Notamacropus eugenii: one gene and its partners. The protein of the gene in region 2 interacts with the protein of the main gene of each other region in a biochemical or structural test. Links are inferred from orthologs where the notes say so. Each region holds a gene or a part of one and is shown on either strand. Other genes may lie near its edges.

What was found.
Region 1: the proteins of EPS15 (region 2) and EPN1 form a complex in vitro, tested with the Homo sapiens proteins (4 studies listed by BioGRID and IntAct, with this or other methods). The link is inferred for Notamacropus eugenii from reciprocal best matches to the Homo sapiens genes EPS15 and EPN1.
Region 3: the proteins of EPS15 (region 2) and SGIP1 form a complex in vitro, tested with the Homo sapiens proteins (2 studies listed by BioGRID, with this or other methods). The link is inferred for Notamacropus eugenii from reciprocal best matches to the Homo sapiens genes EPS15 and SGIP1.
Region 4: the proteins of EPS15 (region 2) and TFAP2A form a complex in vitro, tested with the Homo sapiens proteins (2 studies listed by BioGRID). The link is inferred for Notamacropus eugenii from reciprocal best matches to the Homo sapiens genes EPS15 and TFAP2A.

The regions. Positions count from the first base shown.
Region 1 is NC_092876.1:18,168,343-18,175,761, forward strand, and holds the start of EPN1 (epsin-1), read left to right. Parts: upstream 1-4,407; coding exon 4,408-4,635; intron 4,636-4,719; coding exon 4,720-4,969; intron 4,970-6,988; coding exon 6,989-7,113; intron 7,114-7,307; coding exon 7,308-7,382; intron 7,383-7,419. Other genes in the region: U2AF2 (splicing factor U2AF 65 kDa subunit), read left to right, coding at 1,358-1,437, 1,559-1,681, 1,890-1,988, 2,252-2,500, 2,668-2,802. UniProt on the Homo sapiens protein: Binds to membranes enriched in phosphatidylinositol 4,5-bisphosphate (PtdIns(4,5)P2). Modifies membrane curvature and facilitates the formation of clathrin-coated invaginations. Regulates receptor-mediated endocytosis.
Region 2 is NC_092873.1:511,774,499-511,781,935, forward strand, and holds the start of EPS15 (epidermal growth factor receptor substrate 15), read right to left. Parts: upstream 3,008-7,437; 5' UTR 2,912-3,007; coding exon 2,879-2,911; intron 1-2,878. UniProt on the Homo sapiens protein: Involved in cell growth regulation. May be involved in the regulation of mitogenic signals and control of cell proliferation. Involved in the internalization of ligand-inducible receptors of the receptor tyrosine kinase (RTK) type, in particular EGFR.
Region 3 is NC_092873.1:527,079,810-527,087,375, reverse strand, and holds the start of SGIP1 (SH3-containing GRB2-like protein 3-interacting protein 1), read right to left. Parts: upstream 3,016-7,566; 5' UTR 2,860-3,015; coding exon 2,784-2,859; intron 1-2,783.
Region 4 is NC_092875.1:181,716,889-181,724,330, forward strand, and holds the start of TFAP2A (transcription factor AP-2-alpha), read right to left. Parts: upstream 3,006-7,442; 5' UTR 2,224-3,005; coding exon 1,939-2,223; intron 1,347-1,938; exon of another isoform or gene 999-1,346; coding exon of another isoform or gene 972-998; intron 594-971; exon of another isoform or gene 464-593; coding exon of another isoform or gene 428-463; intron 1-427.

The DNA of each region.
Region 1 (7,419 bases), on a different chromosome or scaffold from region 2:
CTTTGGAGGGCCTTGGAAGTCTGGGTAGACCACAAGCTCAGTAAGAGTGGGTGAGATGCTGCCCCAGCCATTGTAATAGGTGGTCCAAGGCCTCGTGTCCAGAGCCCAGGACAAGAGTCCTATTTTAGTCACTTTACATCTGGCAGGAGCCTGGTTCAGTTCTGGGGACTGTATTTTAGAACTAAGCTGGCCAATAAGTACCCAGAGGCTATTGAGGTGGGCCAGTCCAGAGGCAGGACACCCAAGGAAGAAGGTTGAAGGAGCTTGGTGATGATAAAGAACATTTGGGGGAAGGAGGAGGCGGCAGATCGCGCTTCCTTCTGCACTCACATGTTTTCAGGGCTCCACAGGGGAGAGCAGGGGGCACATCATTCAGCCTGGGCAACCCTTCTGGAATATTGTAGGAGATTCCTTGCGGGCAGGTCAGAGCCTAGGCAAACACTCCCTGGGCATTTTATTCTTGCTCTTTCTCCTAACTCATGGGTCTTAGCTTAAGAATGAGATCTTACTGGTAGCCAGTCAAGTAAGGTCTTTGTTGAGCATGAGATTGAGGTGTTTTGAGGAAGCTCTGCATACCAAATGCTGCGATCTAAGCCCAGCCCTTCTTGTGTGTCCCTGGGCCTCAGTTTGCACAGTTGTTGTGACCACTGGTATGGTTTTTCTGCCAGAGCCTTGAACTTGGGGATCCAGGGTCACTGTCTCTGCTCTGCTGCTCTCAGGCATGACCTTAAGCAAGCTTTTAGTTTTTTCCTTTGTGCCCTAAGGAGGTTAGAATCGACAATCTTTCAATACCCCTCACTAGAAATATGCCCAGCAAGGACCTTCTGGCCCTAAAGCCAGTGACTCCCCATTTTTTAGAATCTAGAAAACCCCAGAATCTCAAGTTGGCTTTTTCAGTGTTAGCCGGCTCTGCTCTTCACTTCTTAGGCCGGGTGGCTGGAGGAGGCATTGATTGCCGTGAGTGCCGTTGGTGGGCTGGTCTCACACTTGTGCCTCACCTTGCCCTTCTTGCCGGGGTTGCTGCTCTGAGGCAGTCATCTTAGCCCATGGTCACAGCCATGGTGGGATTAGCTGAGATCTCCACAGGCCCTTCCAGCTGGTCAGGGCACCCTGCTGGGCCTGGTCCCCCTCTGTAACAAGAGTTGGTGTTTAACCAGATGTTTAATGTCCATCCTGGGGAGGGGTGTTTGTTGGTGTCCCAGAGGTTAGTCACATTCTTGGTTTCTGCTGCTGCTCCTGGGTGTTTGGAGCAGAAGGTGGGTTGCAGCGGTGTGGACCCCATGTAACCAGATCTCCCCAGGCCCTTGGAGGCCGAAGTGACCTCCCACTGAAGGGCTGCCCCTCTCCATTCCTGCAGGTGTCGTGTCCACTGTGGTCCCAGATTCTGCTCACAAGCTGTTCATTGGGGGACTCCCCAACTACCTGAATGATGATCAGGTAACCACCTGCCAACTTCCCCTGTCACCTGCTTGTCCTCTTGCTTTCCCTCCCCTGACTCGCTCCATTTCGTCCCCGCCTCCACCCCGCCCGCCCGCCACCCCCCACTTCTCCACCACAGGTAAAGGAACTGCTGACTTCATTTGGGCCGCTCAAAGCCTTTAACCTGGTCAAAGACAGTGCCACGGGCCTCTCCAAGGGCTATGCCTTCTGTGAGTACGTGGACATCAACGTCACTGACCAGGTGAGTGTCCCTGGAGGACCTCTGCCAGTGGTCCCTGTGTGCTTGGGCTAAGGGGGTCAGGGAGGGTCGGTCAGCCCCCTGGGATGGGTGGGGAACAGCCCTTCTGCCCCTGCCCCCACTCCAGTCAGGGGTAGGGGGAGGTTGGGGAATTTGGCCCCTGACCCACACTCCCCCCACGCCCGCCCCACCCCCACCCCACCCCCTGCAGGCCATCGCGGGGCTGAACGGGATGCAACTGGGGGATAAGAAGCTACTGGTACAGAGGGCTAGTGTGGGAGCCAAGAACGCAACGCTGGTGAGCCCTTCGGCACGTCATCTTCCATTGGCTAGGGGGCCCTGGGGGGTGGAAGGGGGGGTGGGATTGGGCTGGGAGGAGCCGAGTGGACAGGCAGGCCAGGCAGAGGGTGGGCAGCAGCCTGGGGGAGGTGGGGGGGGTGTGGGTGTCCCACTGGGGTGTGGAGTCTAGCAGTGGGGAGGAGGAGGGGGGTCAGCTAGAGCAGCGATGGCGGGCAGGGGTCCGAGGCTCCCAGGCCTGTGGCCTGACCCCTCCCTCCCCGTGGCCCCCCACAGAGCACGATAAACCAGACGCCGGTGACGCTCCAGGTCCCTGGCCTGATGAGCTCACAGGTGCAGATGGGTGGCCACCCCACGGAGGTGCTGTGCCTCATGAACATGGTGCTCCCCGAGGAGCTGCTGGACGACGAGGAGTATGAGGAGATCGTGGAGGATGTCCGGGATGAGTGCAGCAAGTACGGGGTGGTCAAGTCCATCGAGATCCCCCGGCCTGTGGACGGTGTGGAGGTCCCCGGCTGCGGCAAGGTCAGGAGGAGCCCTGCACGTGGCCCGGGTGGGTGGGAGCAGACCGCGGGCCGGGCCCCGGCCCCCCCCCACCCCGGGCCGGGCCCTCCCCCCCCCCCCCCCCGGCCGGACCCCAGCCCCCCCCCCCCACCCCGGGCCGGGCCCCAGCCCCCGCGCTCTCTCCGCAGATCTTCGTGGAGTTCACGTCCGTGTTCGACTGTCAGAAGGCCATGCAGGGCCTGACTGGCCGCAAGTTCGCCAACAGAGTGGTTGTCACAAAGTACTGCGACCCCGACTCCTACCACCGCCGGGACTTCTGGTAGAAGCAGCCGGGGAGGGGGGCCGGGTCAGGGGGCCGGAGCTGGCTGGGAGACCCCCCCATCCCTTCCCCCTCACTCGACCCTGGCCAGGAGAGGAGGAAGAGGCGCCTCGGAGGCCGAAGGCCGGGGGCTGAAGCCCTGGGCAGGGGAGGGGCTGGGGTGTGGACACACACACACACACACACACACACAATACACACACGAACACACGGGGATGGGGGATGGGGGAGGGCATTGGGGGGGTGGGGTGGGCCCCCCTCCTCCCCTCGCGGTAGCAACATAGCGTGTTTATATTTTACGGCCAAAACTTTTTCAATTTTGTTCTCCTGACCTTCGACCTCTGCCCGCCCAGGACCATAAAGCTCCTCTTCCCGCCCCGCCCCTTCCTGGGACCCCGCCCCCTCCCGTGATGGTTTCTTATGTAGTAGAGATGTTGTTTCTCTCCGCCCGTCCCCTTCCTGTCCGCCCCGCCCCCCTTCTCCTGGCAGTTTCATATTTGCTAAAGACGAATTTGCTCATTAAACATTTTGTTGTATTTTACTTTACGGAGCGTCCAGTGTTGACTCGGGGGTGTGGGTGCGACCGCCCCTCCCCCTGCCCCCGTCAGTTACACCTGTCGTGGTGACGTCACTGACGCACTTGGCGTTCTCCCCGGAGTGAAGGGGCCGATGGGGGCGGGGCTCCGGGGTTCGGAAGGCGGTGCCTCGCCGCCCGCCTCAGTGTTCCCATCTGTAAAAGCTTCGGGCCAATTCCGGAGGGCCCTGCCGGATCCCGAACCGGACCGCACACTCCGTCTCCAGGAGGGGCGGCTTGCATGCTCCGTTCCAGCCCTCGGTTTGCCCTGCCCCCAGCGCGCGGCGCTCTAGCCGCTCTCCTCTCGGTGGTTGGGGCCTGAACAGGAAGTGACGTGGCGGGCGGCCAGCTGAGGGAAGCCGGAAGCGGACGGGGCGCGACTTCCGCTTCCGGCCGTCCTCTTCCCGGCCGCTTCCCCTGCGCTCGGCGGCTGCCCCCCGCCCCCTCCCGGGAGCCGGAGCCCGAGGATTCCCGGGGTGAGCGGGTGAGGGGGGCGGGGCGGGGTTCCCCCTCTCTGTTTCCGCCGCGTCCCTGCGTCCCCCGTCTCGGGGTCTTCTCCCCGGCTCTGTCTGAGGTTTCCGGGTCCCATGTGGATGCGTCGACCCCCACCCCTCCCGTGCCCTCTGGGACCCCGGCCCTGCTCGGCCCGTCTGCCCCTGCGCTCTGCCCCCTCCCTGCCGCGCTCTCCCTCAGTTTCCCCCCCTTGCCCAGGCCCTGGGCGAGCTGTCGCCGCGTCTTCTTCCCTCCCGGCTCCTGGCCTTGCCTTGTCTCTCCTGAGCTTCTCTGGGCTGGACGGAGGCCCTGGGGCCGGGCCCTGGGAGGTGCAAGGACCTGGCGGTGGGGAGGGGCCAGGGGCTTTTGGCGTTGGTCTGCGCACAGCGGGGGGCCGCGAGCGTGCTGGTGGGTGGCCCCCCCCCTCCGGTGCACACCCATTTCCCGCCTCAGCGCCTCTCTCGGCCTCTGCGCCCCCAGATGCGGTGACCGGCTCCCCCTTCCCTGGCCCCCTCCCGCGGCCCCGGGGGCGGCCCCGCAGCCATGTCGACTTCGTCGCTGCGCCGGCAGATGAAGAACATCGTCCACAACTACTCGGAGGCGGAGATCAAGGTGCGCGAGGCCACCAGCAATGACCCCTGGGGGCCCTCGAGCTCGCTCATGTCCGAGATCGCTGACCTCACCTACAACGTGGTCGCCTTCTCGGAGATCATGAGCATGATCTGGAAGCGGCTCAACGACCACGGCAAGAACTGGCGGCACGTGTACAAGGTCAGGGGCGCCCCGGGCCGGGGGGCGGGGGGCGGGGGGCGGGGCGCTGCGAGCTGCCCCGGGCCCACCCCCTGCTGCCCTCAGGCCATGACGCTCATGGAGTACCTCATCAAGACCGGCTCGGAGCGCGTGTCCCAGCAGTGCAAGGAGAACATGTACGCGGTGCAGACCCTGAAGGACTTCCAGTACGTGGACAGGGACGGCAAGGACCAGGGCGTCAACGTGCGGGAGAAGGCCAAGCAGCTGGTGGCCCTGCTGCGGGACGAGGACCGCCTGCGGGAGGAGCGAGCCCACGCGCTCAAGACCAAGGAGAAGCTGGCCCAGACGGCCACGGGTGAGAGCCCGCAGGGGAGGGAGGCTTCCTCGTCTTCCCCAGCCCCGCTGCAGCCTCCTCTTTATCAGCCGCAGACGTTGCCTGGGGTGCGGTCCTGCCTGGGACTGAGATAGAGGGCGCCTGGGGAGCCCGAGAGGGAGGGGAGCTGGGGAGCCCGAGACGGAGGGGAGCTGGGGAGCCCGAGACGGAGGGGAGCTGGGGAGCCTGAGACGGAGGGCGCCTGGGGATCTGGGGAGCCCGAGAGGGAGGGGAGCTGGGGAGCCCGAGACGGAGGGGAGCTGGGGAGCCCGAGAGGGAGGGGAGCTGGGGAGCCCGAGAGGGAGGGGAGCTGGGGAGCCCGAGACGGAGGGGAGCTGGGGAGCCCGAGAGGGAGGGGAGCTGGGGAGCCCGAGACGGAGGGGAGCTGGGGAGCCCGAGAGGGAGGGGAGCTGGGGAGCCCGAGACGGAGGGGAGCTGGGGAGCCCGAGACGGAGGGGAGCTGGGGAGCCCGAGACGGAGGGGAGCTGGGGAGCCTGAGACGGAGGGCGCCTGGGGATCTGGGGAGCCCGAGAGGGAGGGGAGCTGGGGAGCCCGAGAGGGAGGGGAGCTGGGGAGCCTGAGATGGAGGGGAGCTGGGGAGCCTGAGACGGAGGGCGCCTGGGGAGCCCGAGAGGGAGGGGAGCTGGGGAGCCCGAGAGGGAGGGGAGCTGGGGAGCCCGAGACGGAGGGGAGCTGGGGAGCCTGAGATGGAGGGGAGCTGGGGAGCCTGAGACGGAGGGCGCCTGGGGATCTGGGGAGCCCGAGAGGGAGGGGAGCTGGGGAGCCCGAGAGGGAGGGGAGCTGGGGAGCCCGAGAGGGAGGGGAGCTGGGGAGCCCGAGACGGAGGGGAGCTGGGGAGCCCGAGAGGGAGGGGAGCTGGGGAGCCTGAGAGCCTGAGACGGAGGGCGCCTGGGGAGCTGGGGAGCCTGAGACGGAGGGCGCCTGGGGAGCCCGAGAGGGAGGGGAGCTGGGGAGCCTGAGATGGAGGGGAGCTGGGGAGCCCGAGACGGAGGGGAGCTGGGGAGCCTGAGATGGAGGGGAGCTGGGGAGCCCGAGACGGAGGGGAGCTGGGGAGCCTGAGAGCCTGAGACGGAGGGGAGCTGGGGAGCCCGAGACGGAGGGGAGCTGGGGAGCCCGAGACGGAGGGGAGCTGGGGAGCCCGAGACGGAGGGGAGCTGGGGAGCCCGAGACGGAGGGGAGCTGGGGAGCCCGAGAGGGAGGGGAGCTGGGGAGCCTGAGACGGAGGGGAGCTGGGGAGCCTGAGACGGAGGGGAGCTGGGGAGCCTGAGACAGAGGGCGCCTGGGGATCTGGGGAGCCTGAGACGGAGGGCGCCTGGGGATCTGGGGAGCCTGGGGATCTGGGGAGCCTGAGACGGAGAGGATCTGGGGAGCCTGAGACGGAGGGCGCCTGGGGAGCTGGGGAGCCTGAGACGGAGGGCGCCTGGGGAGCTGGGGAGCCTGGGCAGGGCCTTCCTCCCTCCTCTCCCAAAAGGCTTGAATGTCCTGTTTCCATGTTTCTGCTTCTCTTTCCTCTCTTTCTTCCTTGTGTCTTTTCTTTTCCCTGCTTCTCTCTCTTATCTCCGTCTCTTCACTTTTTGCTGTCCCTTTTCCATCCTCCGCTCCATCTCCTCTCTTGATTCTTGTTTCTGGTATTTTCCTGTCTTAGTCATTTTTGGAGTACCTACTACGTGTTGGACACCACATGTGCTCAGCATTGTGGATGCAAAGAAAAAGCAGTCGTTCCCCCCTCCCCCAAGTTCTCAGGTTCCGTAGACCTTGTGCCCAGGCCAGTCCATGCAGTCTGACCAAAGGGAGTGCCTGGTAGTGGGGGCAGAGGTGCTGAAGGAAAGCATGGAGATGAGGACATAGCTAACAAGGGTGCCATCATGTGTTCTCTCTTGCGTTTGGGGGCAGGACCAGACCTGGGATGTCTGTCTTTAGTGGGAGGGGACCTCCCTGGAGCTAGGCCCTGTCCCACCCTTCCCACCATTGTTTCCGCAGCATCTTCAGCAGCTGTGGGGTCTGGGGCGCCCCCAGAGGCAGAGCAGGCCTGGCCCCAGAGTAGTGGGGAGGAGGAGCTACAGCTGCAGCTGGCCCTGGCCATGAGCAAGGAAGAGGCTGACCAGGTAGCGGGGGCGGGGGCCTGCTGGGGGGCAGCGGTGCACTGGGGTTTGGCCACATCTCCTCTCCATCTTCCTCATCCTTCACTTCCTTAGCCCCCAGTCCAGCCTCTTTCAGGCTCTCTCTGGCTCTCCTGGCTCTGCAGCTCTTTCTTGGTCCTGCCCCGCCCCCCTCACATTCTCTCTCCCCACCCTGCCAGCCCCCACCCTGTGGCCCTGAGGATGACGTCCAGCTCCAGCTGGCCCTTAGTTTGAGCCGGGAGGAGCATGACAAGGTCAGAGCCACGTCCCCGCCTCCCCCCCATCCCCAAG
Region 2 (7,437 bases):
TTATTACTATTCCCATTTTCCAGATGAAGAGACTAAAGTTTAGAGAAGACAAATGTCTTGTCAGTATAGGAACCCATGGCTGATAAGGGCTAGACTTGGAATTTCCCGACTTCAGGGCTCTTCCAAGATGTCTAGATTGGCAAGATCTTGGGTCAGAACCAAATCACTGAATGGCAGAGCTGACAGGGAGAGGCTCTCTAGCCTTAACCCCTTCATTACACCACCAAGGTGTCTGAAACTAGCTCAGCTCCAGACAGACTGAGGACGAGAATGCTGGGACCCCAGAGCTGTCTAGGGCTCCAGCTCCACCCTACCATGCTGTCTAGTCATCCATCAGTCTCTCCTGTTTCCCCTCCTGGGGCTAGAACAGAAGCAAGGCAGACTGCCAGAGGAAGAACCCTCAAACTGAATCCTTCTTCGTAAAGAAATGTCTACCAAGGCAGAAAGTTAGAAGCCAGAAGACCCTCTTCAAAAACCTCTTATCTGACGGAGACCTTGTAAAGTAGAGATTGCAGAAATATGTCATGCTTATTATATTCAATGCCACTCTGCAGGACACAGAGAGAGAAAAGATGATGAGGACAACTTCATCCCTACCCTTGAGTTTAAATCAAATTATCTACTGTTCCTGTAGCTCACGGAGCAAAAACCTTTCAACTACCCAGGCATTGTACAGTCACACGATGCTAGAGACAGACCATCCAGGGGCATCTCCATAGTCTATGAACACGAGTTTTGTCTGCTGACTCCTCTCTGGATATCTCAGAATCCAAACAACCTAAAATTAGCTCCTGCTCCAGCTGGAAGATGCAACGAAGTACCTGCTCTCCAAAGTGAAATCAAGCACAACCCAGACCAGTCCAAAAGGCAGCCCTGGGAAGTGATGAAAAGCCCCAAATTTGGAGCGGGTTCAAATCCTGACTGCTACCTCCTAGCCAAGAGTCCATGAACAAATCATCTAACCTCCATAGGCCTCAAAGATGCACTAGAGAACATCCATTAGGTCCCTCCCTGCTCTCCAATCCTACATCCTGAGTTTAATGGCCTCCTCATCTTATAGATGAGGGGAAAAAAATGCCTTACAACCCATGAGGTATTTATGCTAGTCATCCAAAGCATTGGTGTTTCTTAGGGTGAATGTTCCCTCCCTCCACAGTCCCTTCAAGATTTAGTAGATGGCATAAAAAGCTGCTGGAGCCAGTCTTCTAGTGATGAGAGCACCTCCTCCTCTTTAAGTAGACTGAGGGAGGCCTTCCTGCCTTAGTAGGTGGGACCTGCCTGGGTCTTTAGGTACAGAGCGAAGGGGACCTGCTGGGGAGCACCTGCTTCCCAAGTCTATGTCCTTGACAACTTTACTATAGCATATGACTGCCTACAAAACTGCAGAAGATTGAGTGAGTGCGACCGTGTTCATAATGCAGAAGTGGCCAACAAACATGAAAATCATTACCATCTCATCCTGAGCACAACTTTTCAAAATGACCACTGGAAAATAAAACCTTTACCCTGCCAGTAGTATTCTTATTAAATGAACATTTAAAGCACCAAATGCATTTTTAAAAGAAAGAGCTCACGGCTACAGTGGTCCTTCAACTTCAAGAGACATTTATAAACTCAGCCCCTACAATCTGAAAGGCCCCAACAATCCTTCAGGAACTATCCAAACACATCCAACCTGTGACCCTGGTCAAGAGATCGCTGCGGTTCTGCCCCAGTCCAGGGCTCCTTGCAAAAGCCTTTCTTCAGTCTCCTATCAGTTCTGAGAGGGAGACTTGACTGGCTCAGGACAAGGGCATTCCTATCTCCTGACAGGTAGTTACAAATAACACCCCTCACCCACCCGCCCGGCAACTGGGTCTATATATCTCAGGTCCAGCCCTTAGCAGGAACCAACAAGTCCCACAAAAAGTGTGGTCACTTTATCTCCAGCCGAAGGTTGGATGACTCCGGAAAGGGCCAGATCAGAAGTTGAGAAAGACATGACCTGAAGGGAACATCCCTGCCTGCCTTTATGGAAGGATGGGGAGGAATTCCGAGTGGGGGCTCAGGGAGGGCGAGGGCAGCGGCGGGCAGGCTAGCACCTGGCACTTCGGGCTTTCTCTGGGCTGGACACTGAAAGGACGAGACCTGGGGGGTATGGAGCTGATTCTGGGGGCAAGGGAATGGAGGCTGGGTGGGAAGGGCTCAGCCCTGGCACAAGGAAAGCTCTAAAAGCCTCTCCCACTTTCCAGAGGAGTGAACCTGAGGTGGCTCTGACTGCTGGGAGATGGGGGCTCGCAAGTGGGGGAAGGGAGCTGCTGGGGGGCTGGGCTGCGGGGGCAGCCTAGGGGCTCAGTTTCCTCATCTGTCAACTAAGGGGGAGGACGAGACGCGCCCATTAGCTCTGCACGAACCCCATCAAGCGGCATTTATGAAGCGCCTACGGTGTACCTGAGCCTAGCGGGGTGACTCAGGCCCCGCGTTACGCCCAGAAACAGTCTCCAGGACTCCGTACCGTGGGGGGAGTCGCCGGGACGGCCCCCTGCCAGCGCCATGACCTCCCTCTATGACCTTAGGATGAAGGGAGAGCAGCACAGGGGCACCAGGAGGGGCCGCACGCGGGTGCCGCCCCCTGCCTCAGTTTCCCCTCTGCCACGGGATGGGTTTGCTGGCCGCCCAGCGCCCTCGCACCCGAAGTGGGCATCCCTCCCGTCCCGGCCGCGAGCCCCGGCAGCGGCCCGGGACGGTTGGACGCGGCCGAGGGCGCTCGGCTCGGCTCGGGAGCCGGCGGTTGGGCCGAGGGGGTGAAGCGGGCGGCGGGGGCGCGCGCGCGGGCACAGGGCGGGGGCGCGCGGAGAGGGCGGGGGCGGGGGCGCGCCCGGGCAGCCCGCCTCGTTACCTGGGTCAGGGAGAGCTGGGCCGCCGAAGCCATGGTGTTTCCATCATGCACGGCGAGCGGCCGCGGCGAGGACGGAGGCGGGCGCCGACACGCTCGAGACGGCGGAGGGGAAAGAGAAGGAAGCGCAGAAGAAGGCGGCGGCCAGGCCCGGGCGGCTCACCCAACTTCAGCAACTTCCCTCCTGGAGCCACGCCCCGCCCGGCCCGGCCCCGCCCCCGCCCTCACACCCTGCCTCTCCCGCCCTCGCTCCGAAGCGCGCGCGCGTGCACACCCACGCACTCCGCTTCCCCCGCCCCTCCGCCCCGGGCCGCCCCGAAAACCCGGTGCGGATCACCCTCTGTGCCGGCTCCCGCAGACTCCGCCCGGACCGGAGCCGGACTCCGCCCGGACCGGACTACCGCTCGTCCCCTCCCCTTCACTCCCGGCCCGAAGGCTGGCGGAACGGAAAACCCGGTCAGGATGACCTCCCTGGAGCGCTCCTCGAGGTCCCCTTCCAGCCCATCCAACAGCCCCAGGGCCGCCGCTGGCGAGACTCGGGATACTCCAAGTGGGCCGTCCCCCGGGCAGAACTCATGATCTCCCCCGGCCCCCCACTTCCTGAACTACCCCCTGACCTTATCAGGGCAGCCACCTGGGCTCCAAACCTCCTGGCTCCCAGCCAGCCAAACCACGTGGTGGCTCCGCCCCGCCCCTCCGCTCTCACCTGGACGTCACCTGGGCCTCGCGGCCATCTGCCCGCTCCAGTCCGGCTGCCGCACACGAGGCTGCCCAGGCGACGTCCTCGAGGGCGGCTCTCCGGGCGGCCCTGCCCTCCTGCGAGCTCCGCGGGCTCCCTAACCCCCTAGAGCCAGGGACGAGTCCTGTTTGAGGCTGGCACCCTCCCGCGCCCGGCCTTCCCGGGCAAAGCCCCGCCCGACGGCTCCCCTGCCCTCGCACCCCGGCCTGGTGAAGACCCCTCGTGTCACCCCCAGTTCGGGTCAAATGCCCCCCGGCTCCAAGCCCTCCTGGAGCCGGCCCCTGCCCGCCAGCAGCTGCCGGAGCCTTCCCCGCACGTGTGCGGGCTGTCTTCGGGGCAGAAGGCCGGTTCCTCGAGGGCAGGGGCTGTTTCTTCCCTTTTCTCTTCCATTTTTTTAATCTTTGCTCGAGGAGGTTTCTAAGTCACCTTAAGAAATGCGATTTACGGATATTATTTTAAATTGGGCGCACAACCTTTGGCCGAGCAGAGACCCTGCCCGCAGCAGGTGCTTGCTGCATGGCATGGCCTTCCTGGCCATCCGAGCCCATTGCATCATTCAAACTCGGAGCTTCTCACCCCAGAGGCAGCACGGACGGCCGACCCTGAGCCCCTTGCCTGCGCCCTCTGGGTCTTCATCTATAAAATGAAGAAGATGCCTGCCAAGACTCAGAGCCCTGGGCTTGAAGTCAGAAAAGACAAGTAGTAAAACCCCTACATCTTTTTTGAGACAGCTTCCTCATCAGTAAAATGGGCATAATCAATGGCCCTTGTGCTGCAAGGTCATTGGGAGAGAAGCTCTTTGTCAGCCTTAAAGAGCTGTAGAAAGTTGAGTTGTTGCTCTAACTGGAGTCAGTTTAGGGTTAGCGTCAGGAAAAGTTCTAATGTTAAATGATCCGACAATGAGGACTTTCCCAGAATGGGACAGGTGGCCTCAGGAGGCCATGGGTCCCCCCTCCTCGGAGAACTAAGCAGAGCTGACCACTCCCTCATCAGCTGTGTTACACCTGGAATTCCTTTGGTTCATATAGATGCTCTGACACTTAGGAGTTCTGTCTGTGACTGTAGGTTGTTGTGAGGATCACACAAGATAATATTTGTAAAGTACTTAGCCCTGTACCTAGCATATAGTAAGAAAGCACTGTATAAATATTAGTATTTTTATTACCAGTCTCTTAGCCTTAGTTTTGTCATCTGTGAGATGAAGACAGAAAGATCTGGGTTGTATTAGATTTAAAGCTGAAACAGACTTAACCAACAAGCACTGATTAAGCTCCTACTGTGTGCCAGGTATTGGGCATATAATAACAATAAATGAAACAATTCCCATCACTAGGTGATTGTATTCTAACAGGGGAGACACTGAGCCTCAGGAAAATTAAGTGACTCTTGTAAGGTCACATACAGTAAATAATAAGTCCCCAAACCTAGAGTCCAAACCCAGGTCTTCCAAATCTATCTCCATCCCTGTTTCCAAGGTACACACTGCTTCATAAGGTTTTTGTGAATGCCATGTAATCCTTAAAGTGCTGTATAAATGGGAATGGCCCTGATGATTAACCAGTGAAGGGGGCAGAGCCACAAAGTGATCTGCCTACCCTCCTGCCCCCAACTGGTTTGGGATGAGGAACTGAGCATACACACACACACACACACACATATACATGCATCCACACATGAACACTCATCTCTCAGTGAGTGGAGGAGGCTAAGGGAACTCAGATACAGGATTTTCTTTGTATGTCATTCTCAGTTTTCTTTTGTTTTCTAAGGGCTGTAGGCTGCTATCAGCTCAGTCACCAGGGAACACTCCAGTTTTGTGATGTCAGCATCAGCAAACTGAGGAACACTGTATTATGGCTTGAGTCTGAAGGAAGGCTGGTGCCTATAGGGCTTCACTTGGAAGACACTGCTATCTCAGGGCACACAAAGCTCCTGTTTTACTTACAGAAAGGGGTGGGTTAAAGGCCCATCCGAACGGAGCTACGATGCCCCTCCCCCTCTGCCCAACAACAACTGTACTTTCACTTCCATCATGGTGATGTAGAGCACTGGGGAGGATGGTCCCAGTGGTCAGTTTAGTAAATATAGTTTGCCTTGTTCTGGGAAAAGCAATGGGGGATTGGGGTTGAGGGGAGCAAAATAACAATTGTGTTACAGAACAGTAGGGACCCCTTGCTGGGGCCCCACCCTGGGAGAGAGAAACCTGGAGAAAAGATCAGCAGCAGGGTAGAGGCAGAGGAACTGGGTGCCTAGGTCTGCCACTCACTGTGGAGCCTTTCAGGCAGCTCACTTTACCTTCTGGCCTCAGGTGACTCATCTGTAAAATTAGGAGGGTCAATCCTATGGGCTGTTATTAGGCAGAATTTTGGAGTCCAAAAACCTGACTTCACAAGCTCTTCCCATCTTCCAGGTAGTCATGGTGCCAGGGGGAGGGGCGGGGAGACTTGAGGCAAGAGAGAGCTGAGTTCATATCCTACCTTGGACATTTCCAGTTTGATTGATTGTAGGGGAGGACACTCTCTGGGCCTCATTTCCTCATCTCTACAATGCAGGTAATACCTGCTGGACCTGAACACCTATGAAGGAGTCATGGGTGTCAGGGCTTCTTTCCACTAACATTCCCAGAAGGGCAGAAGGAATCTACAGCCTCCACAGGGGACACTCCCTTTCCTGATTCAGTGGGCTCAGCCGAGAAGTATTAGGGACTTGCCTGAAACACAGGCCAAGGGACTGCCCCAGGGTCATAGAGCTAGTGAGTGTCAGAAGGCCGGATTCAGACCTTGCTCTGTTCTGCTTCTATACCCAGTGTCCTTTTCAGTAATAACTGTAGCAGTCTGCTGGATCATCTGGCTGTTCTATCCACCATGCCACAAGTAACCTCTTTGGGATTTGGATCCAGGTCTCTTGATTCCAGATACTGACAGATCATAGCTCAGAGGAAGATAATAGGATTTAAAGGTCACCTATTCTAACTCCTCCTCATCTTACAGATGTGGACACTGAGGCCTAAAGAGGTTACATGCCTTGCCTGAGGTCACATGTGGCATATCTGGCATTCAGATCCAGGGACCTAAAGTCAGGACCAGATTTGAAACTACCTCTTCCTGACTCCAGCCCAGGATACACCAAGCTGGCCCTATTCCACTAAAAATATGAACTAACACTTCCATGGTGCTCTACCATTTTGAAAGTATATTCACAATGACTCCATTACTATTATTTCCCCCATTCTACAGATGAGGCCCATGCAGCCACATGGCCAAGGAGACAGATCTCCAGGCCTGGAGTCAGGAAGACTCATCTTCGGGAGTTCAGATCCAACCTCAGACATTTAATACCTGTGTGACCCTGGGCAAGTGCCTTAACCCTGTTTGTCTCAGTTTCCTCTGGAAGGATATGGAGAAGGAAATGGCCAACCACTCCAATAATTTTGCCAAGAAAACCCCCAATGGGGTCACGAAGAGTTGCACAGGACTGAAAATGACTAAACAACAACAGATGCATCTAGAAACTGCTGTCCCAAAAAACAAAATTACTTGTCCTGGATCATGTAAAAACATGGACAAGCACCTATTAGGTGCCTGCTCTGTGCCAGGTACTTAGAGGAGGTCAACGGAAATACAAAGACAAAAGTGGAACAGTCCCTCTGCTCAAGGAACTTTAACTTTCTTTAGGGAGACTGTCGATATAAGAGAGATACAGAATGATGGGAGGGGGCCTTTACATCCCGGGGGGTGGGGGGCGGGAATCATGGCAGGCCTGTTGGTAGAAGTGCCATTGGAGCTGAGCTCTGAGGCAAGCTTGGGTTTCCAAGAGGCAGAGA
Region 3 (7,566 bases), about 15 Mb from region 2:
GGTCCACAGGAGGCCAGGGATATCTTGACTTTGATTACTGACAAAATTCTAGGAACTGGGAAGAGAGTGAACAGTTAGGGAAAAAAAGGTGGTGAGTGAACACAGGTCTAATTTCATCTCTTATGAAATAATAACAATAACAACAATTTATATAGCATTTACTATGTGTCAGACACTGTGCTAAAATGTTTTCCAATGTCTCACATTTAGCTTTACAACAACTTTCACAGGTAGGTGCTTTGATTATCTTCATTTTACAGATAGGGAAACTGAGGCAAACACAGGCTAAGTGACTTGCCCAAGGTCACTCAGCAAGTACATGTCTGAGGCTGGATTTAACCCAGATCTTTCCTGTGCACTATGGCACCATTTAGTTGTCCCAGTTAAGGAATAGCTAGACTTAAATAAATTAAGGAAATCTTATAAATCTTATAAAGACAGTTTTCCTAGAGCAGCAAAACATCTGACAAAGTCTCTCAGGTTATTCTGGTGAAGAAGGTAGATAGATGTGAACTAAACAATAGCAAAGTTAGGTGCACTTAGAAGTGGTGGGAGAGCTGGACTCAATAACTCAGTGTCAAATAGGAAGAGGTCTCTAGTGGAGTGGCTAGTGGCTCATAATTCTCAGATCTCTCAGTGATGCCAGATCAAGAGGGATGGCTAGCTGGAGGCATAAGTCAGACTTTGGTAGACCAGAGCAGCAGTTTTCAACTTTTTGGTGTCCACAACCCTTTATGCTCTGAAAAAATTATTGAGGACACCCCCCAAAAGAGATTTTGTTTAGAAGGGCTATCTCCATAGCTATTTACAAGTTAGAAATGTAGATGTCTTCTTATTATGAAATTAATTTTAGCCTCTCAGACTCCCTGGAAGATTCTCAAGGACCTCCATGGTTCACAGGAGCACATGTGGAGAACTGCTGAGTTAGAAAATCATGAAAGACGCTGGACCATGCTTTGTGTTTGCTGATTAAAGGAATTGAGCCAATATTTGAAGGGTTATTATGCAGAAGAGAAATTTCACATAGTTTGGTTGGCTTCAGATAGTAAACTTAGGGATAATGGAGAGAACATGCATGAAGACAGATAAGGACTTTAGGGTCACATGCCCCAAGGTGGAAGACTGGACATATTCTGTCATTCTCATGACCTCTCAAACCTCTCCAAAACAGCAACTGTGTGTAAGAGATAAAGCAATTTTTAGCTGTTTCCATAGCTTAGGGTTCCAGGAACCCAAACGAAATAAAAACACTCTCTCAGCATTCTTTCTCCTATTACCTACCACACTCCCAACAGCAAGGCTGCATAAGCCTTCCCCAGGGCTTTCAACAGAAATTGTCTCCACACCCTGACCCCCACTGCACCCTAGTTCAACCCACTCCTGCCTTCCTCTAGTGCCACCAAGATCCAAATTCCAAATAGCAGAAACTTGCCCAGGTTGCCAAAGTACAGTGATCATTCTTTACACAATACAGTTTGTCCAGAGAACAGAGAGGGCAGGATACAGATGTGACTAATAGAAAGAGCCCAGCATTCATCTGGGACCAGTTCTGTCCTCTCAGAAGACACTTAAGACAAACACCAAAGCTGGTGAACCATGAATTGCACAGTGTGGGAAGAGGCTGAAAATTGGAGATTCAGCCCCCAGGAAAACCACCATTAAAGAGGAGAATTGGAAAGTGAGCAATAGGTCCAAATAAGGAAAAAAAAATTTGAAATTACCAAAGATCTCAGGAGGAAAAAAAGGATAAACCTCGAGCATAATCAGATAAAGCAGACAAGTTTGAATATGTATCACAAAACAAGTGAAAATGAATTCACACCTGATGAGGCAGAAGACCCTGTGGGTTCCCAAGGGAGCATGCAATCACAACAGGATTCCTCTGAATGCTTCAAAAGAGAAACTCGAATTGTGAGAGAGGAACTTATGGTCTACATAGCCAAAATCATTGGTAGGATAGAAAAAACTAGAATCCACAATGGCAAGTCTTACAAAGAAACAAAAGAAAGAATAACTGACAATTAAAATATGCCGGAGAGGACACTCTGGAAAAACAGAGGCTGAGTTTAATGCGAAATGTCCTAACGACTGGAGTGGTATGAGAGTAGAGTGGATTTCCTTAGGGGAAAAAAGCAACCTTCCCCTCAGTAAATGCCCATGGCCAAGGGAGATTGCAGAGGGAGTTTTTGTTCCTATATATGTTGGGCTAGATCATCTTTGTGGTCTAACTCTGAGAATCTGTGGTTCTATATGATGCCAAATTTAACACGAATTAAAACAAAACACTTGATGTTCATGTAACACTTTACACCTTACGCCTAACACACATCTGAGCCTCACAGCAACACTTTAAGATAGACAGTCTAAGTATGATGATCTTCATCTTATAGCTGAGGAGACTGAGGCTCACAGTGGTTAAGTGACTTGCCAATGGTCACACAGCTAATCAGCATCAGAGGCAAGATGTGAACTCTGATGCTCCTGGCTCTGAGTCCAATACTCTATCCATTAGTGCATGTTGTCAGGTTCCCTTTTGCTATTAACAATAGCATGTTGTTATAATCCTTTAGTTTACAAAGCTGTTTATAATATCTAGTGAAAATAGCCTTCTTCAAGAGATTAATACTTTCACATTGCCTCTTATATTCTCATTGCATATACGAAGGCTATATGTATAACTTCTTTTCCTGTGGAGATTTGAGGACCATCTTATTATGTTTGAAACATCTCACCTTCCTATTTTTCATTAGTTCAGACATCTTAGTAAGACACTCTCTTCTTACCTCCTTTTCTCTGAAGTATTGATCCATCTTCTTTAAAATGGCTCATTGTATCTACTTGGTCTTGAAAAAGAGCCATCCACTGACATGTACTCAAACCCCGATTTTCCCCAGATGTTCCTTTTCCTTTTTGGGGCTGACCATCTTCTACTTTGTTAATAAACTAGATGGCCATGGTCCATGGCTAACTCAGTCCCTGTTGTCTACAGAGGGGGGGAAATACAACTGCTCCTTCAGTTAAAAATGATGGATCTCCCTGTGATGTCACAAGCAACAGCCATTGCTGTGACAACATCTTGTGGAAAATCATACTGCTGGACTTAGGGTAACACCATCTATCATGCCCTTCCCCTAATAGAGTATGGTTTTTCATTTTACTGAAATGGCTTTTCAGTTTTCATTTTATTGGATAGAGAGCTGTTCTTTTTGAAAATGACCTGGCTGATTTAGTAGACTATAAACTCACTATGAAACAACAGTGTGATTTCTCTCTGTCCACACTTGTAATATGACAGGCAAAAATTGTTTTCCAATTCTATTTTAAGAAAAATATGATGTCCAGAACACAAGAGATGATGGTCCTACTGTCTTCTTCTCTGGATGGACCAACTCTAGACTATGGTGCTCAGTTTTTGTGTTGCATTGTAGGAACAGCAAGTGAGCCAGCATGGCTGAATTATATAGCATACAGAGAGGAATAATATGTAAGACAAGAAAGACAGGGTCCTGGTTGTGTTGAAAGCTTCAAAACAAACAAAAGAGTTTACATCTTTGATCCTTGAAGGAATTTATTAAAGTGTGTTTGTGTGTGTGACATACTGAGACCAATATCTCTGTCAGTCCTTCTGATTCTATAATACTGAAACATTCTCTCTTTTACAAATCAATGCCTCATTCCATCCGCAGAAGAGATTGTAAAGTCTTTGAAGAGATAGTCTGTGTCTTGCACCCTTTGTGTTTCCATCATTTGTCTTGCACAGTGACTCATACGTCGTAAGTGCTTACCAAATATTTGTTGGATTGATATGTGACACATATCAATGGACACAAATTCTGCGAGTCCCTATGAGCTCTTGTTCTCTTACACTGTTGGGTGCTTTAATGTGTTGATTAAGATCACATTTGAATTTAGGTCAGAACAAGATTCTTCTATTCATTTTGTTTTCTGCTATCTTCAACTTAACAGTCACTTTATCAAAGTTCCAGGCTACACAATAAACCTACAAAACTACAGTATTTTTATATTTCCCTATTACAATACATGCTCCCAGTGACCTGGCTTCCAAATCTATGTGTCATTGACTTCCTATTTTCTCTCTGATATTCATTCCTTTCCTATACCTAATTGGCTGCCAAATTCTCTCAGTTTTCCTTCACATCATGTCCCATATGCATTTTCTTCTTCCTCTGACACTGCTATCATTCTGATTTAAGACCTTATCCCCTCATGCCTGAACTATTCCAATATTACTCTAATGGCTGCTGCTTGATCTTCCCTCTGCAAGCTTCTGCCAACTCTGCTCCATTCTCCACTCACTATCAAAGTGATCTTCCTAAAACGCAGATGTGACCATGCCATCCTCGTACTCAACAAACTTCAGTGGCTCCCTATCCGCTTTGAGATCAAAGACAAAATCTTCCAGTTGGCATCCTAAACCCTTCACAACCTGACCCTCTCTCACCCTTTCCAGTCTTCTGACATCTTAAACCCTTCTGTGCATTCTTTGGTCTAATGAAAATGGCATCTCTGCTAGTCTATGAACAAGACACTCCATCTCCTGGCTCTATGGCATTTCCATTGGCTGTCTGTCCCTCTTGCCTGGTATGCTCTGTCTTTTCATCTCTTATCCCTGACTTCCTTCAAGTTCCAGCTAAAAATCTTCCCTTCTACAAGGAACCTTTTCTGATTGCCTTTATTGTTTATAAATAACAACAATATGATGATAATGTATGATAGAGATTTTTTATATCAAGACATAAACATGTATTATATAATATATAATGAAATATATAAAATAACAATAATGATAAAGAACAACCAATGATAATAGTAAGTAGCATTTATATAGTGCCTACTATGGGTCAGGTATTGTGCTAAGCACTTTACACGTATTATTTCATTTAATCCTCATGACAACCTTATGAGGTAGGTACTATTACTATCCCCATTTTACCTTGAGAAAACTAAGGCGTGTAAAGGTTAAGTTACTCACCCAGTATCACATATCTAAGTGTTTGAAGCCAGATTTGAACTCAGGTTGGGCACAGTGATCTATGTACAGCATGAGCTAGGTGTTTCTAGGGAAAGCATTCCAAGCAAGAGGGTCAGCCAGTTTAAAGGTAAGGAGATGGGAGATGAAGGAACAAGAAATTAGCCAATCAATTGAACATATACTATATGGGGAAGGTGATTATGTGTAAAAAGACTAGAAGGGTAGAAAGGAGTCAGAACTTTTCTGTTGCAAAAAGAAGACTTTCTCATATATCCTAGTGGCACAATGAAGGGACCTCGTGAGTCAGAGGGAGGGGCGACATGTTCCAGTGTGTCTGGTCTCTCATTTTATTGACTGAGGAAATTGGGGACCAGAGAGGAAGTTATTTGCCCACACAGCAAGATATTTGCTGAGCAGGAGCAGGATCCAGATATCCTGATTACCAGCTCAATAGTCCTGGGCTCCATTAACTAAAAATTGTCTTCAAAGATCAGGTTGTCTCAACCCAAATTGCTCACTTTCCCAGTAATCCTACAAAATGAAAAAAAAAAAGCGTGGTGTTGCCATGTGTCACTGACCGTTCTCTGCCATGAATAATGATAGTCCTCGCTCAAGGAGTATTTGTTTTCCCCCAAGAATGGGGACATGATATATTTATTTATTTTACATTTCTCTGCTTTTCATTATGAGTTATACTGTTAAAATTCCATTGCTTAGATTACAAAACACCATGATGTCAATACTTGCTTAATGTTTTTCTTTGTTCAATATTACTAGAAGAAAAGAATCATCTTGTCTCTATCTTCTGAATAATACCCCCTGAGTCAAAAATCCCTGAAATCAGAGTTGAAAAGGATCTCACTGGTCATCTAGACCCAATCATAGCCCAAAGGAAAAAGGAATCCCTTTGACACTATACACAACAAGTGAACTGGAAGACCAAACATTGATGACAGTGATTTCTGTTTTGAATTGTGCCTTTAAATGGTTGTAGCCATCTGTTCCAAACAGATATGATACAGAAAAATAGAAGGTAAAATTTCTCTTTGAGTATAGGCTGCCTACATTGAGATGGAAGGGAGATTTGAGATCAGCTTGTCCAACCCCCATCATTTTACAGGTAAGGAAACTGAGACCCATAGAGTTCCAATGACTTTCCCAAGGACATTGAAGACAGATTGTAAACTGACTTTGAATGATGCAAGTGATGTAGAGGCAAGAGAGTGATATGATCCATACAATGTTAGGAGAATCCAGGAAGGTATCAATATTAAAATACAATCATTCTTTTGTCACTGTCAATGAAGATAGATCAGTATAGAAAAATTGAGGATCATCCAAAGAGTAATGAAGAGGGGCATGGTCAAAGTACTGGGTTAGGAAGCAAGAAGTTGTCTAGCAAATTAGATTAAGTCAAGATCCATGGCATGTCAGAGCTGGAAAGGACTTTGGCCATTACTTTATAAGATAATCACAGAACTTTAGAATCCAACCTGCTTTCATACAGCTTTACTTCTTTCAAAAGTGAAAGCCATCTTTTAAGCTCCACACATCAGCCCCAGTTCTGGTATCTGGAGCAACCCTAGAATTAACCTCATCCAGCTTTCACTTGACATCCCTTCAAACATTTGAGGGTAGCCACCTATCATCCCCCCCATCCCCAAAGTCTTTTACTCTTTAGAATAATTCCAAATTACTGTCATTTCTTGTACAATGTCACATGGTTTACAGTCCTCTCTTTCTCTTTTAGCCTTTTGGTTATACCAATGAAGCCAATAAAGAGGATGGGACTGGACTGGACAAAATGCTCCAGATATCATTGGACTAATAGGAAGCGCAGTGGGATTATTACCTCCTTTAATTCAAATACTGCTTCCACTAATGCAGCCTAAGATATCATTAACATTTTAAATGAACTATATACTATTCTCGTGGCTCATTTTGAGCTTGTGATTAATTAAAATCTTAAGGTCTTTTTGACATGAATTACTCCTACATGAGGACTCCTCTATTCTATACTTACATAATCAGCTGAAAAAGAAACAAACATGATTACAGGAATTTACATTTATTTTTCTTAAATTTCAACTTTGTTTGGTTCCACCGTTCTGAATTGCCAAGATCATTTAGAATTCTGACTGTTGTCTAGCAAAGTAGTTATTCCTTCTAGCTTTGTCTCATCTCTTAATTTGATAAACATGACTTCAATGTCGTCATCTAATTCTCTGATCTGAAAAGAAAAAGTTGAACATGGCGAGGCCAAAGACAGAACTCAGCTTCATTCCACTAGATACCTCCCTCTGGGATCACGCTAATCTATAGTCAACACTCTTTGTGTAGAGTTGCTTAACGAGTTACAGATTCACTTAGTTGTACACCATCCAGCTCTGATTGCCCTGCATTGTCAACTGAGATATCATAAGGGACTTTTCCAGATTATGCACAGAAATCATGAAATGACACATTCAGGGAATTTTTCTAATTTACCAGTCTAGTGACTATGGCAAAAAGAAATGAGGCTAGACTCTCTCCCTCCCTCCCTCCCTCCCTCCCTTGCTTCCTTCCTTCCTTCC
Region 4 (7,442 bases), on a different chromosome or scaffold from region 2:
CCCTTAAGCAAAATAAAAAGTCCTCGACGTTAAACAGCAGAACCACTTCCTCCTCCTGCCCTGGAATCTAACTACAGCCGTATTACTGTTGTTTACCTATTCGATTTATTTAGAGGAATAATAATAAACGTTCAAATGTTATTATCATTTCATGACTATTTAAATAAAAACATTTCTGAAACAAGCTGTAATGAAAACACAAGTTGAAATTATCAGTTTAAAGAACGTTTGACTATGGATGGAGACATTTGTCTTCTCCCGTTCTTTAGCTGAGTTAATAAGTACATAATATCCTTAAAAAAATAAAGATGTAAAAGGATGAATTCATTTCTAATTTTAAAGAGAGAGGTACACCTTAGGGTACATCTTCTCCTCCTCACTCCCTCTCCCCTTAAGGATAAATGAAATGACTGATTTTCTGCTTTACCATCGAAATTGAGTATCTTTCAAAATAGCAGTACATGGTTGATTCTATGGAATTCAGTATCCTACGAAGTTCAGGTGCTTGGAAACACAGGAGCAAAGTATACAGATGGTCGGTAGTCTATCAGGATAGGCTTTTAAGTGGCTAAGGATAAAGGCTAGACTCTTGGAAACACCACCGTAACAAGTGAAAACGTAAGGAAATGAAGACGAATATGGCAAGAACAAGCCTTTTGATCATTGGCTTGAAGCAATAGGTAGGTAAATGGGGGAGGGGGAAGGAGAGTAGGGAGGGGACAATACATAAGACTTGAGGATGAAAAAGAGAAAAATGAAAAATGAAAGAGGTAGGGGAGAGAGAGAGAGAGAGAGAGAGAGAGAGAGTGTGTGTGTGTGTGTGTGTGTGTGTGTGTGAGAAAAGTGGCCTTTGAGGAATCCTGATCGTGAAACCCAAAGTCCAACAACATTCAACGACACTAGTATTCTAAGAGAGAATTCCCGAGGAGAGAGGGGTTAAAAAACAACAACCAAAGCAAAACAAAACTCACCATCGCTGAAAAACTGTGTACTAACATCTGCGAAGTCTGGGTTAACGAGTCAGGGCAGAAAAAAAAATCAAGAGAAAAGTGACCGACTGCACATACACACACACACCCAACACAAAAGAGAAGCGAACGAGCCCCAGTTCTATACTATGACTACAAAGTCACAACGCCGGAGACTCTGGAGAACAAGAAAAGCACGACTATAATCCATCAGAACTTGAACCAATTCGTGCTGGTGCCCTTCATTGGACGTTGAAAACTCGATCTCTATCCTGTCGTGATAGTATAATTCAAAGTTCTTTAAAAAGAAAAAAGTGTGTATGTGCTTGTTTCTTAATCCTTTTCTTTCCCTCTTTTCTCCTTCTTTGACTTAGCGGCTGCTTCACTTGAGCTTCTAATAACAGAGATCGACTGCTTTCCTTGAGACTCCTAATAGCAGATATTCATGACTATTAATATTACACGAATACTTAATAAGGGAAGAATGGCTGGAAATCGAGCGTGAAGCGAAGAGGCAACTCAAGGCAGAGTCTGTTCTAAATGACGTCCATTGAATGAAGAATCAGTGTATCTAATCAGAGATGGGGAGAGGGAGAGCTAGAGACAAAAAGAGAGAGCGAGAGAGAGGGGGACATGCCGTGGCGTCTGACGAATCACAAGGAAGGGGCAACATTTTAAAAGGTTGCAGGACATGCAAAAGTGAAAGAGAAAGAGCTCTAGCGAGGAAGACAGAGGGAGAGGAAAAAGAAAGCAGGGAAAAGAGAGGAGAGAGAGATAGAGAGAGAGTGCCTGCATGAGAGAGAGAGAGAGAGAGAGAGAGAGAGGAACAGAGTGGGAGAGGGAAGGGAGGGAGTGGGAACCACATAGAGAGGGAGGGAGGGAGGAAAAGGGGGGAGAGAGAACGGATGGGGGAGGGGAAAGAGAGAGAAAGAAAGGGAGGGCAATCAAACCAAAAAGAGTGAGGGCAGACCTCAGGATGCTGCTGCTGCTGCTGTTGCTGCGAATATCCTGCATTATATGCCAAGGGCTGCATCTGGGCGGCCTCTTTGCTTTCTGTGCCAGAGTCTCTCCCCTGCCCTTTGGTGCAGCTGTCTGGTCCGCTTTTCTGCAGGGCAGGAGCCTCGGGGCCCCTCGGTCCCCTGCCGCTGTCGTCGGCCGCCGCTACCAATGCCTCCCCGAGAGATCCTTCCATGGCTTTGCCCAGGACCCTGACCGAACAGCAGAGACCCGCCCGAGACTGGAAACAACGAGGCATCCAGAGTTCTGCGTGCTCCTATTCCTCTCTTCCCTCGGCCTTCATCCCTTGCTTCTTTTTCCCCCCTCCTTAAGGGGACGCCCTTCTCTGCCCTACCCGGGTTTCGAGCCCAGGGACTGAGGAGTTACTGCCTGCAGGCTCTCTTCCTTTCCCCTGTTCAGCCAGGTCTGGGTGCCTTCTCCACTTCACCCAGCTCCCCACACTACTCCACCCATGAGCAGCCACTCTTTCCTGGCAACTCGGCGGTGACTGGGGCCGGGAAAAAGGCAAGCAGAGATGGTCAGGACTGCCCCCCTCACCTCCCAGAGCATCCACCGAGCAGTCGTTTGGGAGCTCAGGGGGACAGAAAGGTAGGGAGTTCCTGGGACCCAGGAGAAAGAGAAGGAAAAGGAGCCAGCCCCAGTCCCTCCACACACTGCCACAAGCTAGCTCCCCAGCTCCGGGTGCAAACCCGTCGGACTGGCTGGGCCACTCTTGAACACCAACTCCCCCCAAAGATGACACGCACATGCTCGAGCTTCGCCGCCACCACTGCCGCTGCCAGTCTGCCGGGTTATCATAACAACGGGCACTTTGCCTCCTGCTTGTCCTACAGAACTCCTGCTCCCCTAATCAAACAGAGCTGTAATCCTGCACCGAAGCCCGGGTTACAGTCTCTTCTGCACACACAGCCACTGGGAAAGTTGCAATCTTCTTAGCTTTATTTTATTCTCCCCCGCCCTCTTCTTAATCTCTCAGCAGCTAGAAGACTATGCCATCCGTCTCCTCTCTCTCTCTCTCTCTCTCTCTCTCTCTCTCTCTCTCTCTCTCTCTCTCTCTCTCTCTCTCTCTCTCTCCTCTCCTCTTCTCTCCCTCTCTCCTCTCCTCTTCTCTCTCTCTCTCCTCTCCTCTTCTCTCTCTCTCTCTCTCTTTTTCTCTCTCGCACACACACCCCATACTCACGTTCCTAATGAATGTCCCAACATTCTTTCATATCTCCACTCAATTCCCAAACGCCTCATGGAGGCGACTCGGTGTCCGATTCCCCCATGAAGCTTTAGGGGTACTGAGACTTCATTGGAGTTCATCCTCTGGTTAGGAGGAGTCCCAATGCCTCCGGCCTAGGGATTTGGAATTGTAGCCAATTATTATTTTCCATTTTCCTGGTCTGTTTAACACTAACTAGAGCAAACAGTCCGTCCATTCCGACCACTACAACAAAGCCAAGTTGACCCTCTTCTCCTCCCCTTTTTGGTGCTCGCGCATACACATGCGTCCTCATCTGGATCCCAAACGCACTCTTCCATCAGCTGAGAAGGGGGTGGTGGTGGTGTGTGTGCTTGGAAAGGAAGAAATATTTCTAGAAACAAGAACTAAAATAGTCTTCATAAAAGAAAAAGGCGCGGGGGAAAGGGGGTAGATAGCTACATGTCGTTCGGATAAACCTGGTTTCTGATTTCAAGCGAAAACAAGATATTGTTGCTCCGTATGCAAACAGCTCCTTTTCCTGACGCTTCCAGAATCAAATGACAAAAAGATATAAAAACTGGGACTCCAACTTATTTATTTAGATAATCCGCCGTTCTGAGTGATTCATCAGTTCTTCCTTTGGGGTAATGGAAGGGACCAAATGCGAATGGCTATAGAAAACTCATATAAGAATCTCGAACGAATGACTTAAAGAAGCCTGGACCCACAAGATATATACCACAGTAAAAACTGAGATTGTGCCCAAGAGAAAGGGGTTGGGGGGAGGGGAGACCCTAATGCACCGCTCACTCCCTCACGGTCGCACTCGGGCACCGGGTCCCAGAGAAGCCCGGTGTTTTCATGGTCTCCACATTATCCCTATGGCAAGACTGGTCCCACGATCTATCGCAGAGTCCCATCGTTTCACCCCACCCCAGGACAAGGGGTAGAAGGTAGAGAGCGAAGCGAACTCAAAACACCAGGCGGCCGCGCCACCAAGGTTCCCCGCTCTCGCACTTACGGAAACTAAGTTCTTTCCTCTCTGAGGCTGAGTGAATTTTCCTAAGTTCTTGATCCACTGACCCTGAAGTGAGACCCAGCTAACTGCAGGAATAAGGCGCAAGGCTGATAACATCCCATATTGTACCTGATTTCAGCTGCTCATTAGATGCCAGCTAATTACTCGACTAATGTTTTGTGTTCCATTCCGCCCCCCACACCTCCATACTCCCCTAATCAGCTTCTTCACCAGAAGATTCCCTGCACATCAGTAAAAATTTAGGCTAAGGTTAAAAAGAAAGCATTGGCACAGAGAAAACCCTATCTTCCATTTCTTTTTCTACTGACTTTCAGGACCTCCATGAGTTCGGAAAAGGCACACCACTGGCAGCACATGCTTCAAAAATCCCCGCAAATTTCTCTGCTCACTCTCCTAGTGTATCTCCAAAATTTAAATTTAAAAAGAGAATAAAGACGTAAAGAAGGGAAAAATTACCCCACTTTCCCAAGTTCTGGGTGGGCGCTCCCTAACCCAGTGTCACTCCTTCTGGTAGCCTGGGTTGAGGAGAGGTAGAAGTTTGTCCTATACGAAATTCTCAGATCGATGCATGAGGCAAGATCCCAGTGACAGCCCATGGTGCCCCTGGACGTGCCCAGACCAGCAAAGAGCTTACCTCACAGTCTTCGTATTTGATATTATCCGTCAGTTTCCAAAGCATTTTCATGGATTGGCGTGAGCAAATTTGTTTCTCTCTGCCTTGCACCAAAGTGGAGCCACTCTCTGGGAAAGCGCAGAGTACAGGCTGGTGGTGGAAGGGAGGAGGAGGAGGCGTGTGGGGAGAGAGCTCCTGTGTGCGCTCGGAGATCTCCCTCTAATGGTAGAAACTTTTCCCTTTTCCAGCTCTTTACCAACAGCCTAATCGCCTCATTAGCATATCAACAATAGTCCAATTGCTCTCCAGCACAAGAACCTGCAGCAATGGACACAGGTATATAGGACTCACAAAGCGGGAAGCTTCCTCCCAAAGCTCTGGGTTGCTTTGGAAGGAACGGAAAATCTTCGCTGCCGTTCCTTTTGCCAATCGATTTTGCACTGCCTCCACCCTCCCCCAATTGCCCGAATCCCCCAGACCCAACATTACACACACATACACATACATACACACGTACGTACACACACACACACGCACGCACAACACTTACACAGTGATTTCCAGGGAAAAGCTTAAAAGAGATGGGTGAACCGAAAGTCACTACTATTGTTCCCTGATATGGAGCTAGTGTCCAACGTTTCTAGCCTTCATAACCAAGAGAGGTTGCCCTCCTCGTCCTCTCCCTTTTTTTTTTTAAGCACTAATAATTGCTTCCATAGCAATTCAAGGAAAAGAACCCAGCTATATTTTTACCTTATACATAATCTCATTCATTCCAGGAAGGGACTACTCTACCAGAGCTTTCCCCCTCCAATTTTATTGTTGGTTTTTTTGGTGGTGGTAGTGGTGGTGGTGGATATGTGTGTGTATGTGTGTGTGTGTGTGTGTGTGTGTGTGTGTGTGTAATTTTCTTCTAGGTTGACAGAGGGTTGTTTTTTTTTTTAAACAGTTGAGATGTCGCCTAATTCCTCTGTGTGTAAAATAAATGTTTAAAATCATACATTTTTATTTTACACAAGTTTCAAAGGCAAATTGCTTTTCTTGCAGGAATCCTTTTCTCTCCTCAACTCCCATTTATTCCTCCAAAAGTTAGTTTGAAGTTACGATTGACTGACAATTGAACTCCTTCAGGCCATGGGGTTGTGGGGGAGAGATTTCTTTAAAACTTAACTCATGATGATATGTACATAATCATCTTAGTGGTGCTACAGCACTACTATACTACAGTACTACATGTACAGATGTATGTATACACATTATTATGTATACATCAAAATAAGTGATTGGAAACCAACCCTTCACAGAGCTAATATGCTACAGTTTCCCCAAGATTCCCATTTTTAATTAAGACAAGGAGGGCTCCTCTATGATTTGGTGATGTTACCAAGGCTGACTCACAACACAGTGCCCTGGCAGATGGTGGGAACCTGCAAAAGGTTTGGTGGTTGGTTATCCAGGGCTCTCGGGGGTCTAGAAAGTTAACTACATGCTTCATTCAGTACGTTGACTATAGTAAAAATACTGACATGATCCTTAGACATATGGATTTTGTGTCATTTGTCCTTAAAGAAAGTTTCTCCATTTCTGTCTATTCACTTTGTCTCTCCCTTCTCCTTTGCTTTCCTTCCAATCCTCTACCTCTTCTCTCCCTACTTCCTTCCAGTTCTCCTTTCTCTCATTTTTTCCTTAACCTCAATGACATCTGCAAGGTCATCTATCTTTTTCCATGCTGAGGTTAACAGTCTTTGACTTTATTTGGGGCCACATTCCGCAAGTCACACAGGCTGGTGCAGTTCTCATTGTGTGTGTTCTCTTTTTCATATTCCTGTTGATGTGTGTGTGTAAGGGAGATTTGGGGGCCATTACACAGTTGTTACCAAACAGATAGAAGAAGGCAGAGGAAGAAGCAATCCAGTTGGCCAGGAGAATATATTCCCTGGATCAGGTAGTATCTAAAATCTAGAGCAAGACCTGACTAGAAATGTTGATCTTAAATGCTCAAGAAGCTGAGGGAGGAGAGGACTACTTTGAATGCAGTATTCCTTAACTACCCTCTTCTCTGTGTTCCTATTTCTTGCCATCTGAATTTGGCATAAAACACTAATTTTCAAGTCCCCCTCCTTTGGCTCAGCAACAAGAATAGACCTAAGGCTCCCTTTTGATTATATTAAATTCAGTTTTCCAGGGAAGACATTTGGGGACTCTGCACTGTGGTCAGTCAAAAAGTCATATGTAATGCTGTGCTAAGCCAATGAATATATATTCTGCATGCATAAAACAGATAGTCATGTTAGATCTGTGTATTGCCTAGATATTGCCTGTATATGTTAAGGGGTTCCTTTTCTTCAGATGAAGGAAAGACAGAAATTTTCATCCATTCTTCCTTCACCCCTACTTGTCCTTTCAGCTTCTTCACCATCTCCACCCTTCCAGGTCCCCTTGGCACCACTAGGCTCTGAATAATCCCAAAGTGTGTAAATTGTTGTTCTATTCCTATTGAGACTGCAATTGAGGTGCAGATCAGGGCCTGTAGTTTATGCAAAGAGGGATGTGGGGTGCACTCCTTTTATTAAAGCACTATCTCCAGCCAGAGTCATCCAGTGGAGCCAGTCAGGACCA